Regions from separate parts of the Mus musculus genome. Here all the other regions are reported to be linked to region 1. Evidence: microRNA targets listed by miRTarBase, many of them from high-throughput screens and not tested one by one. Region 1 holds a microRNA gene; each other region holds the end of a gene's coding sequence.

Region 1 (3,101 bases):
GAAATAAAATTTGAACAGTAAAATGATTAGAGAATATTCTGTCCTGTAATTTTTTTCTAATAAGCAAGATAAACAAAGTAATCTGAATTTTGAAGTTTAAAGATAAAAAATTTAAAGAACAAAGGAGAAAGAAATCTAACCCTTGCCTACAAAGTCCACCTATGAAATACACATAAGAACACCCATTCTTATTCTACAGAAACCCAAACCTTTCGGGTGACCGTGATCTCGTTCGTCTTTTTTTGCGAACAGCTGGTGAAGAAGGTCTAGAGCGACTCCTCTTCCTGTCTCTTTCAGGAGATGACGAAGAACTCGAATAAGATCTTTTTCTTGGGGAAGAAGAGCCCCTGTGGGACCTGGAGCTGGATCTTCATTGATTGAGAGACAAAGCAGACGTTTCATTAAAGGCAGAAGTGAAGACTGTCCAGTTCCCAAAAGCAAACAGGATTGTGACTATGAGGACTTTAGGAGGGAATACTTACTGCTTACTCAGAAGGCTTCTGGGTCAACCATCAACAAGTTCTATTTACACACAATCATTTCCTCTTTAAACCATTCTAAATAGTTACCCTTGGTAATTAAGAAGTAGTTTACTGAATTAAGACAGAATATTTTTATAATTGCTTATAGTGTTCCAATTTAAAGTATACAAACAGTGAAATCAATTCTGTGGTGACTTTATAGTCAGAAAATAGATCCTCCCATTTGTCAGGAAAATTCACTTTTTATAAAGCTTGCTGAAGACAATGAACTTAACTTCTTACAGGTGCTACAGACACCTGAGGGACATGGCCCAGAAAAAGAACACTGAAGCTGTGAAGTAGTCAATGAAAATGGCAACTCTACAATGTGATTTGTATGAGAACTGTGCTATGAAGTATGAAGTAGTAACATTTACATGTTTTAAGTGGAAGTAAATGTGTAATTTAAAGAGCAAATTTATCTCTATTTACATATTTTTAGTTGAAGGCATTTAGCTCAAACTTCCCAAAAAATTCACCTTAGGGCTTAAAATAAAATGAGAAAGCCCAAAAGGAGAATTCTTTGGAAAGTTGTAAGCAATTAAATGTTTGGGAAGGATATGAAGGCTGTCCTGTAAACCTCAGTCCTACAGTTCCCAGAGGGCCACACCAAGACTCCACAGTCTGAAGTGAGCACGGATAGTTAATGCAATAAGAAAGAAACCTTTGCTCTACTCAGCGCTGGTCAGCAGAGCACTGGTCAGTGCTCCATTACCCCTCTCTCTCCTCAGGGGGACTCAATGGCAGCTGCCTTCAAATGTTAGAATGGGCTCAAGTAAGTGAGTCTTTCTACAGAAGAGTTGTTAGGAAACGTCAATGTAAAAGCCACAAGTGAGATTTTAGAGGCTTTCGTATAAATGCTGTATGCCTGCAGGACACAACAATACAGTGACTGAACATGAAGGCAGCATAGTGAGCAAGTACAAAAAAGTTTTTCAAGGAACCAAAAGCCTAATGCTTCTATTGCCTTTTTTTTTTTTAACCAATCATTTTCCTTTGAAATACTCACAGCATGGCTTATATCAAACCATACTTAAGCCAACATCCTACATGACTTGGTTTTAAGAGGGGTGTTTGTTATACAGGTAATTTATAATATTCTTTAATGTCAGGGAGATGTAGTAAATACATAGAGCACTCACTAGAAACTGAGAAAAACCAGGCAAAGCTATTGTAAACATTTGCCTGAAATATAAAATGTTTCGAAGCTAGATGATGGAATGGTTGGTCTTCCTCTCAGAAATAACTTCTCACTTGTATGTCAAATTTAAATTAACTGTAAACATAAACTTAATATACCAGGTGGAGTAACTTGCCTTCACCTTCCTACATCACACGTATCTTAGCTATATGTGCAAGCCCCACCCCCTTTAATCAACCGTGGGAATGTGTGGCACGCTGTGCGGTGGGAACACTGTGTGGTGAGATTAAGCTGAGGTAGGTGCGTTAGATTCCCAGGGCTACAACAGAACGGACAAACAGAAGCAGGGCAATGAGAGAAGCAGCGGAGCCGTCTGAAGCCTGTGAGCACTCTCCTCTGCTCTACAGAGGCGCTACCTCATTCACCTTGATTTCGAACCACGGGATCTGGAATGTTCTCTGGAACCGGAGTGAGACCTGGACTGCGAACTGGAAGAGCTTCTTGAACGGGACCTGGAACAACACGGAAGCATTTTTTTCCCCTAGGACCACATTTTTGAGGTTTGTGATATGAACACTGAAAGAAAGACATATATTAAGAGTGCATTTTTCACATAAAAAGATGTCTATGCAAGAGATGCATTTTCCAAGCAAAAATACTTAAAACAAAGCTTCTTACTGTAATAAAGACTAAGTTTACAAGGAAAAAAAAATTAAAAGTTTCAGTGACCACTTTCCAAGCCCAATTAAACTGCCAAAAGGGAAGTAACAAGCACCATAGCTCACTGCAGACAATGTCACCTCACAGCTCACTGCAGACAACGTCACATTTACATTTAGATTCTCCAGTTCACTTTTCATTTTCATTTGAAAACCTATTTCCAGTCTAGTAAGCAGAAAACCCTAACTGCTATATCACATTTTGATGTCTAGCCTTCATTTTTAGAGAACTAAAGATTCAACAACCCAGTGCTCTACATGAATTACATTACTAACAGACTGTAGAGCCGAGGGAAAATCTAGCCCTCACACTCTGAAAACCACAAATGACATCCCTGACACCATTTTTAGTTTGTTCCCACAGAGACTATCACAGTTATCTCAGAATCAACTTTTTTTGGGGGAGAGGGGAGGGACTAGGAATTGAGCCTAGGGCCCCATATATGCTAGACAAGTATCTATCACTGAGGTATATTTCTCCAGCCCCCAAAATTAGCATTTTAGGCTTTATAGTACAAATTAAGTAGCTGGCAACATATTTTCTTCTCAAATATCATTAAAAATTGGCCATTAATGAATGTTGTGCCATAGAAAATCATTGTTTAGTTTTAATTATAATATCAAATGCATGTTTTAAACACCCAAATATTCTGGACTCTCTGGAAGCAATTAGCATCATGGTTAGATTTATTCTCTATTCAGAAGATTGACACCAAAATA
Region 2 (3,101 bases), not on the chromosome of region 1:
AGCTGCCCAGGGCCCTTCTCCTGCAGACCCTTGCCCCACCTTAGCTTGTCCTACAAGGCTCATTGTGAGTAACTTCTCTCAGGCCAAGCAGAAGAGCCACCTGGTGGACCCCCAGATCCTCCGAGACCAGTCCCGCCTTGCCCCAGAGATCATCACGGCCACCCAGTATAAGAAGTGTGATGAATTCCAGACGGGCATTCTCATCTATGAGATGCTGCACCTGCCCAACCCTTTTGACGAGAACCCGGAGCTGAAGGAGAAGGAGTACACGCGCACAGATCTGCCTCGGATCCCTCTCCGCTCCCCGTACTCCTGGGGTCTACAGCAGCTTGCTAGCTGCCTCCTGAATCCCAACCCTTCTGAGCGCATCCTCATTTCTGACGCCAAAGGCATCCTCCAATGTCTGCTCTGGGGCCCCCGAGAAGATCTCTTTCAAATCTTCACCACCTCTGCAACCCTCGCACAGAAGAACGCTCTGCTCCAAAACTGGTTAGACATCAAGCGAACCCTGCTGATGATCAAGTTCGCGGAGAAGTCCCTGGACAGAGAGGGGGGCATCAGCCTGGAGGACTGGCTTTGTGCTCAGTATCTGGCCTTTGCCACTACAGACTCCCTGAGCTATATTGTAAAAATCCTGCAATACCGTTAATATGGCCCGGGCATTGCTTTTATTGTTAAATATCTCCACCTTCCTCATGTTACCCTCATGTCCCTGTCCTGGTATCCACTCAGAATTTAAGGAAAGGAAAGAAGCCAACTGCCACCCTTGTCCAGGGACATGGGCTCCATTCAGCAAGGTCACCTACAGCTTTCTACAGTGAATGGCTGAGTGTTTCTTTACTGTACAGCAGTTCAGCTGCACAAACATGCAGTCACCTTCCCTTGGAGCATTTGTCATCCCAATAGTCTCACAAATGTGGGGTAAAAAGTGAAAAATGCACAGCCATGAAGGAGCAGCTCCCATGGAATGATCTCACCAAGCTGCATACACCTCTTCCATAACTCTGAAGCTCGCCTGCATTAACTAGCTAGCAGTACACACATCACCAACCTCAGCTGTCACCCACTAATGCTCTCACAGCAGATTCCTCTCCCTTGAAGTGACCACCTCTTTCCCTAGAGGACATCCCATTATCCTTCTTGGCTCCGTTGTAGTCACTGGGGACTAGCCTTTGCTCTGGCATACAGTGAAAGGAGGGGACCCTACATAGAGAGCCACCCGGCAGCCGCAACCCTGCTGCCACTGCTTCACTGTCCTTCACCTTCACCCTGTCCCGCCTGCTGAAGTTTGGGTTTATCATTCACTTCTTGTGGTGGCCCATTACAAAGCTGACCAAAGGTGGTATCACCGATGCCTCAGCAGGATGAAATATAGTCCAGAGATTATGAATAGTTGGCAGGATATGAAGAAATAATGTCCTTATGTGTGCAATTCTCCAGGGGCCCTCAGGGAACAGACTTTCAAGTACTGTTCTTTGATTCCTGTCAGACCTACCCGCATGGCAGCCAGGCCTGGTGGTGTCTGTCTGAGTCAGAGTTTCTTCCCCCACAAGCAGTAATTGGCCAGCTTCCTTCCGTCAGTAAGCCGGTATTAACTAGTCTGCCAAATGCTGTCGGCAACAGCCCTGAGTGAGATGGTTATCCGTTTAGCGTCACCATCACCTTAGAAAGCTACCCGAAGCTGGCTATTGGAATGGCCGGAAGACAAGGGGAATGGGAAAGGTCACGAAGATGGCTGACCTGTTCCTCGGAGTGCGAGCCTCTTCCAGAAAGACTGCCTCCCAGAGTGAGTGGCACGTTGCTCCTAAGACTCTGCAGTGGGTCTGGAGCTCGGCTCACAGGAAGGCTGATGGCTGCAGTGGGTGACTGAGAGTTGTTCCCCGTGGAGCCCGGGCTCTCCCGTGAATTATGTGCAATTTTTGTATGTATTTTTAAGCTGTATATTACAGTGTTTATGTTGCAACTTTCCATGAGTGAGAACTGCAGAAGCCTTTCTGTCTTCCCTTGGCACATATTTGCGCTAAGAGGCGAGTGTCCTTTCCACCTGTGTGTATGTACACTCATGTGCTTGTTTTATTCAAAACTGTGAGTCTCTGTTTACTTCACCCTTGAAATCCCAAGAGTCACTTGAATGGTAAGTGAGTATGCGTGTGGAACCAACCATGTTGCATGCACATGCTGGAGCTAGGCTTCTGGGAAAGCAACCTACAGTGGGGTAGACAGATCCATTTTGTATACCTTGCCAGTGAAGAAAACCCAGAAAGCCCTGGTCCACCAGCGCCGAGTTGTCTTAAAGCCAAGACTGATTTTGTGCAGTATTATTTGGGTGGCACCTTAGTGGCCTTGGAAACTTGTAGACTTTTAACATTTTTAACAGCCTTTCACATGATTCACCTTTATCAAAGAGGATCAAAAAAGGAGAATGTATTTTATTATGCATTTTAAAAGAGAACGGTATGTGTGAGGCTGCATATGGAGGGTGGCTTGTGTTCCTGGCTAGTGCTCTGGACTCCCAGGAAAGAGAGCTGGTTGGCCCACAGTGTCTTGTGTCTCCTACACAGAATGACCATGGAGAGGGCAGCCATGAGTCATGGCTGCACCATGCCCAGCAGGCTAGGGTTTGAGTCAGCTTACATAGCCCATGGTCACAGAACTCCCTGCCTAATGATGCACTGAACTGGCTGCATAAAGACCACTGACCATGTCAGCGGGCACAGTCCTTCACTTTCCACAGTACTTGCAGATTGAGACATACCTTCTCCACGTCACGCTCATGGTGCCTTGCCCATGTAAATCTGAATGTTGACTATTTAATGAGGTTACATATTTAATGCAGAATGTTCCCTAGGCTCCTCTGTTTGTTCTGTCTGTAGAAATCTCTCTCTTTTTTTTCCTGTTATCTTAGATCCAGCCTTCTTTCACACTATAGTAGAAAAAGTGTGCACACTTCTGCTACCATTGTCTCACTGCATTGGTAAGCTGAGCATCCTCCCTCCACGTGACTCTCACTATTCTTATGACCGCACTAGTGAAGGACAAAGATGAAAACCAGCTAATAGGAAAAGAGCGTCCGACTTTCTAGAGACAGGAGTTAATTCTGT
Region 3 (3,101 bases), not on the chromosome of region 1:
GAGGGTCAATCATCAGCTTTTCACCCAAGAGAGAAAACACCATCAGATAACTTATCCAAAGGCTTATAGTCCTCAGCATCTCGAAGCCGGCTTGTAACTAATCACCTCATACTGAACAAGATTCTATTTCTTGAAATTTTCTAGCAAAATACTGCACACTCCACTGAGTTATCCTGCCCTCTTCCTCCAGAGATGCAAAGTACATGATTATAAATGTAAAATAACACGGTTTGTTTGAGTTCTGCTTTTCTTTAGGAATAAAAGGTGTGATGGTGGCTGAGGACAGATAACTTTTACGTCAACATTAATAACATGTGATTTGGGGACAGTCCCTTGAAATATTTCCTGAGTCTTGATAACAGTATTAAGTCTGCATAGAAAGGACCAAATGGAATAAACTAATGTTAGTATTTCAAGCTAACAATACCATAAACTTATCAAGAACCTAGTTTAGATGGAATTTACATAAAATGTATAATAACACTATAATCTATTTGTAGCCAAGATAGAGAAGTTAGAATAAGGAATCCACTATAGATTTGGATGTTGATTTCATTTTCAAACACAAAAATAGTTTCTTCTTTAGAAAGTGCACTAGGATATCCCCCCAACCCCATAACTGTTAACCGATTTAGCATAAGCAGAGAACTGACCTTAGGAACATACCCAAGTTTTATGACCAATTTCTAGATACTGGACCTGAAAGGCGTTTTGATCTGAATTTATTTTCCAACAATTTCAAATATAAGTTCTCATCTGCATGTAGATATATACAGGCACAAATACATTCACACGCAGTCATACAAAAACAATTTAGTTTCTCTATCAGATCAGGGTAATTTTTTATTGCAGGTCTCTTTAAATATTGGCTAACAGAAAACCTATCCCCAACCTAACAGATCTCACACATACACTCAACCACTCCCATACTTCCTCACAGTGAAAAGCTCTCTGACAAGATAGCACAAGGTCTAGAGAGACAATGCTTTAATGGCTGGGCCTTGAGGACAATTCTGGTTGCATTTAAGTCTCAGTGCCAAACGCACTGAGTTTCCCTGCCGATAAAATGTTTGGATCAGTCTCTTCTGGAATCAGGCCATAGAGAAAGCAGGATAATTTCTCCCAGTTTCTCCTATAATCCACAGTGGTAAGACAAGATTTCTTTTTGTTCTGGGCTATCGTTCCCATGATTGTGTGCTTCCCTTTCCCTTAGGAACCACCCAAGTATATCTAAGGAAGAGTTAAGGGGGACTTTTTTTTTTTTTTAAAGAACCACTTTTGCCACTGGCACAAGTTTTGCACTCTACAGGATGGAAAATCCAAACAGGTTCACTGGCTGATGCTCCTTAACATTAAAACAGTAATAGGAAGGAACTACAGAAATGTTCAAAAGAGGAAGTGTACTTCCTTTCAGAGTGTGAACTCAGAAGCCCATACATTGAGGCTTATAGCTATTTGGAAGACAATGATACTGAAATCCGAATAATTCCACTAACTTCTGAACCCAAGACTAAGAGTTATTTCCTTTTCTGAGAACATCTTTTTCATACTGAAAGCTGCTGCCTACTATTTGACCATTTTGGAAGTATATCTCCTTCAAAGGGCCTCTTGTACAATTCCACAGAAAGACTTCTGATTTCTGATGTTTAGAACAGCTAAAAAAGGGAGATGGTTTTGACTCTCCAGCACTAAGGTGCTTGCGTCAGTAGTATTTTGAACACTCCCTCCATAGCTACTTCAAGCATCAGACTATACTTCAGGCTTTTCCACTCTGTTGCTGGAACTAAAGTCTTTAAAATATTAACACAAGTGCCTAATCCAGGAATCACTGTCAAAAACAACACAGGAAGTGATCGTGTGAGGAAAGGGAGACAAGGATTAAGTCAGGAAAGGAGTGCAAGGAGCTGATCCCAAATAAAATAACAAAATTAAGAAAGAAGACACATTATATATGTATATATGAACTAAAAGCAGAAAGTATGAATGCTTACTCTGGTGGGATGCCAGGACAACATTTATAAGGAAAGCTTGATGTGTCATGATAAGGCTCAGCCATTGAGAAATAAGGCAATTTTTTTAAAAAAAAGAAAAGAAAAGAAAAGAAAAAAAGACCAAGGTATTTTGGTCACAGAATGGTCTTTTTCCTCCTCCCAGCCAGCCCCTGTGAAAGCATCTCTATATATTTTTTAATATATATATATATATATAATATAGAATCTGTTTTTGTTAAAAAGTATTTCAATGATCATATATATTTATCAAGGCATGATGGCTTTAGGAAAAGGGGGGGGGAATCCATCATGGGAGAGCTAAGAGGGAAAAACAGGAAGAGGAGGCTGGGGTAAGAAGTGTAAGAAGAACCTGGGATGAGATAAATGCTGATCAAAGGGTGGCACCAACAGAATTTTCACTAATATTTTCCATTTTCAAGGAGTCACCAGTGACATTGGGTGCCACAATCCCATCTCTTTTTTTTGTACCATCTCCCAATTCTTCCTACCACCAAGCACATTAATGCCTCATGGCTCTCTCTTCCAGATGTCTCTTGGACCCATGCTACCTTGCATCCCGGGCTTAGTGGGTATTGGCCCATATGTCTCTGGCACTGGGTGTCTAATCTTAGAAACCATTGCCACTGATATTAATGGACTGCAGCTCTGTCACCTGCATGACGTTGATGCCACTGTTGGCAAGACGGGCAATACCCTCTGGACAGATGGCCTCCATGGCTACCATATTGGTGGTAATAAGGGCTGAAGGAGTGGCAGTGCCTTCTGAACCTGCCCCACTGTCCAGGGGCAATGTGCCCACACTCAGGGCTACACCTGGGCCTCCCTTCTTGTTCTGGTGAGTCTTGATATGCTTTGACAGGTGATCACTCCTCATGAAACGCTTAGGGCACTCAGGGCAGGCAAATTTCTTCTCTCCTAGTTTAAAAAAAAAAAAAAAAAAGATAAATTAGCCAAAAAGCAGTCAGAACAAAGTTGAGGTTGATGTGTATCCTTCTGGACTAATTCAAGTACTCTTGGAGACACGCTTAGTTTCACATATACATTGTTTAGGAATTTCAGTTTGCTTCATGGGCATATCATTTCTTTTTT
Region 4 (3,101 bases), not on the chromosome of region 1:
AAATTGAGGCAACACCGAATGAACTCAGCAGCTTGTATCCATATATTTATTCATTTGTTTTTTGTATCAACAATGTTTAAAGAGGAGAAGGCAGTTGATTTGGGAGGGGCTGGGTCAGACACGAGAAGGGCGGAAGGGAGAAAAGGGAGGGAGAAATGATGGAATCATATTTTAATTGTTTTAAAAGAATGAAAAATATTGGACTACACGTTATCATTTCAAAAGTTTAAATTCATTTTTCCTTTAATGAATGACACTCTCTCCCTCCCTCCTTCCCTTAACCCCTCCCTCTCACCCTCCCTCTGTCCATCCTTCCCTCCATTCAGAGTAAAAAGTGACTTTAATCAGAGACAAGCAAATCTAGCCTTGGAACAAACCAAAAACAACACAGAAGAGGAGGAGGACGGCCAGAATAACAACCTATAAAGTGCTTCCGAGTCTTCGGGGGACAGTGCTTCGGGGGACAGTTCTTGGCACCTGGCGGGAAAGTCCTGATTATCACACACAGAAGAGCTGACAGGAGTCCCTGCCACTGCCACACCTCATGACTTAGAGAATATGAATGAGTAGTCTTCGAAGTTGGTGGCAGCACTCTGCAGCGACAGGAGAGGAAGAGAGCCCTGGTTCTGAGCTCTTCAGTTCCAGCTTCAGCACGCATTGACTCTGTGACCTTAAGTGAATCATTTAACTGCTTCCTCTGTTTTAGTTCACCGCTTGGAAGGTAGAGGGATATTTCAGGAGAGCTACTCTTTGCTCTGGCTACAGATTGCTCTAAACAGCCTTTATTCTTATTTTTAAATGAATATTTGAATGTAGATTTATTTTTTATTCTTTCTGATGACACTGTGAAACATGGACACTGTACATAGTGGGCCTCTTCAGGGCTAGAGAATATCACACAGGGGCCAGAATTCCAAAGCTTGATTAGGTAGGAATAAAGATGTTCCATCGGGAATAAATACATAGGTTAGATTAGAAGTAGCAAAGACTCATGAGATCTTGAAGTGGGGAACTGGATGGGCACGGAATCTGTTTGCAAGTGCCTACTATGTGCATGGCCTCTCACGCTCTCTTGTGTGAGGTGGCCTTGATCAGTTAAACTTGATTCTGATGAGAGGAGTCATATGCAGAAGTTTAGCAAATGCTGGGAGTTGGGACACATTTTTTTTTTTCCAACATGGCAGTTGTAAAATATCAGACTCTGGTATGTTTGTCCCTTGAAGGCTAATTTTCCTCAAGGTTAGCAGAGACCTGCTTCTCCAGAGGATCAGAGAGTACTCCTGAACTACAGGTAGAGTTACTTGGAACTATTCAGTGAAGTCACACCTCACAGGAGAGATTTCCAGGAGTTTTGGAAGCAAGCAAACTTTCCCTTGAAACTCCTAACTCTACAAAGTGAAGGGGGAAAAAAAGTCAGTTGCTTTTTTGTCAAGAAATATATCACGTCTTTGTGTTGTTTGGCTCTTTATTTTTTGTATTGGTTAACTAAAATAGGGAACAATTTACACATATCTACTCAAGAGTTACACTTAAAGAAGCAGGATGGCTTATAGATCCCAGAGGTCAAATTCAGGGAGACCGATGCCCCCACGTTATGTAATCACTGTGAGATGGCTGGCAGAATTGCCCTGCTGCTTAACATATTGTTGAAGTCTGACACTTTCTTGTCTGTGTATTTCACTCATGTGCAGAGTGTCAGTCACCTTAACTGTGTATGTGTTGTAACTGCCCTGTGCTCACGCATACAAGATCTTTGAAGAACTTCTTCGAGTGCCCCACTGGTGACGCTAGGTAGAATCATGACGTAGGTGGCTTTACAAAGCATGTTTTCAACTCTTGGGGAAACCGAGGCCATTAATGGTATTCCTTATGGAGAGTACAGGCATAGCCATGGTGGCAGCAAGCTGGTCCAAGTGACCAGCTTGATTGATTGATATCATTTGGGAAAGGCAGACATGGAAGTAGAGGGTAGCTACTGGGGCAAGAAAGTTTGTGTCGAAAACAAGAGCTGAGGGTAAGACTGGCATTTACAGTTCGCCAGATTCTGGCGTGGTTGGGACATAGTGCCTCTCTACTAAGAGCAAACACACACACACACACACACACACACACACGCACGCACGCACGCACGCACGCACACAAGCACGCACGCACGCACACGCACGCACGCATGCATGCACGCACATGCACGCACACGCACGCACGCACGCCAGCACGTACACGCACACGCACATTTTTAAGAATCAAAACCCACCTCTTTTATTGAGCTCCTGTCTCTGAGGTTCTGTCTGACGTTTTATTTGTGACATTTTGGTCATATTCCATCACTGTTTATCTCAAAGCATCTGCCCTGACCTTCAGAGGGATGAATGGGTCAAACATAGCAACCCAGAGACGACTCGATTCTGCTCCCGGCTGATACCCCACAAGTGTCAGGGACCACATGCATGCTCCAGTTTTTGCCTTTTGTTCTTCTGTATTGAAGACCCAACGTGTTAGAGGTGTTATGGATTTACCTGCCCTCACCTGGCCCCACCTTCTCCTGGACCTTGCCTGCATCCTCCAAAACAGCAGCTTTCAAATCGTTCTAAAGGCCAGCAGGGCCAGCAGGTCTCAAGTTCAAATCTCTAGTTTTTCTTCCCAGTGGGCATCTTTCTGAGCACGGTTGCTTTCAGAACTGGGGATATGCTGGTGAAAGTGCAGGGTGGGAGGTGGGTCAATGACAGGCACACCGTGTGTGGTCAGTTAAAAGGAAAAAAAAACAAACAAACACACAAAAGAAATCCATTGTGCTTGGGCTGTGGCTCAGTAGTAGAATCTGTGCTTAGCATGCACGAAGACCTGGGTAGATCCCCAGCATCCCCAGAGACAGAATCACTGAATCCGGCTGTGCAGAATAGCTGGTTCTGAGCACCACCTACTGCTGTACCTTTTAAAGAAGAGGAAAAGCATCAATAACAAAACAAACAACAGAAAACTTTTCCAAGAGCTCGTAGTAAATACTTCTTGGTCTTATTTCCTAACTGCAGCTCAAAGTTAGCACCCAACAGATGAAACAGCCACATTTCTGAGAAGGATTAGGGCCGAGAACTTCAGAAAAC

Evidence for each region. The annotated mature microRNA mmu-miR-186-5p reads CAAAGAAUUCUCCUUUUGGGCU and lies in region 1 at 1,026-1,047, opposite strand. An mRNA with a match to its seed (bases 2 to 7 or 8) in the 3' UTR can be bound and repressed. Matches are read on the target gene's strand: a 7mer-m8 pairs with bases 2 to 8, a 7mer-A1 pairs with bases 2 to 7 and ends in A, and an 8mer does both.
Region 2: miRTarBase lists Peak1 as a target of mmu-miR-186-5p. Seed matches in the 3' UTR shown: 7mer-A1 at 834-840.
Region 3: miRTarBase lists Sp1 as a target of mmu-miR-186-5p. Seed matches in the 3' UTR shown: 7mer-A1 at 1,266-1,272.
Region 4: the mRNA of Stk32a is a reported target of mmu-miR-186-5p. Seed matches in the 3' UTR shown: 7mer-m8 at 828-834.

What each region holds. Positions count from the first base shown.
Region 1 is chr3:157,542,231-157,545,331 of GRCm38, reverse strand. Mir186 (microRNA 186) reads right to left here and starts at 1,053; the gene lies at 983-1,053. Zranb2 (zinc finger, RAN-binding domain containing 2) reads right to left here. Exons shown (of 10, transcript NM_017381.3): 8 at 2,088-2,174; 9 at 210-368.
Region 2 is chr9:56,203,996-56,207,096 of GRCm38, reverse strand. It overlaps Peak1 (pseudopodium-enriched atypical kinase 1), which reads left to right. Exons shown (of 7, transcript NM_172924.3): 7 at 1-3,101. The coding sequence ends at 649. Among named protein-coding and RNA genes, the nearest start is that of Peak1os, 36 kb to the left of the region's middle.
Region 3 is chr15:102,430,551-102,433,651 of GRCm38, reverse strand. It overlaps Sp1 (trans-acting transcription factor 1), which reads right to left. Exons shown (of 6, transcript NM_013672.2): 6 at 1-2,927. The coding sequence ends at 2,620. Among named protein-coding and RNA genes, the nearest start is that of Amhr2, 13 kb to the left of the region's middle.
Region 4 is chr18:43,314,729-43,317,829 of GRCm38, forward strand. It overlaps Stk32a (serine/threonine kinase 32A), which reads left to right. Exons shown (of 13, transcript NM_178749.3): 13 at 327-2,753. The coding sequence ends at 426. Among named protein-coding and RNA genes, the nearest start is that of Gm31647, 66 kb to the left of the region's middle.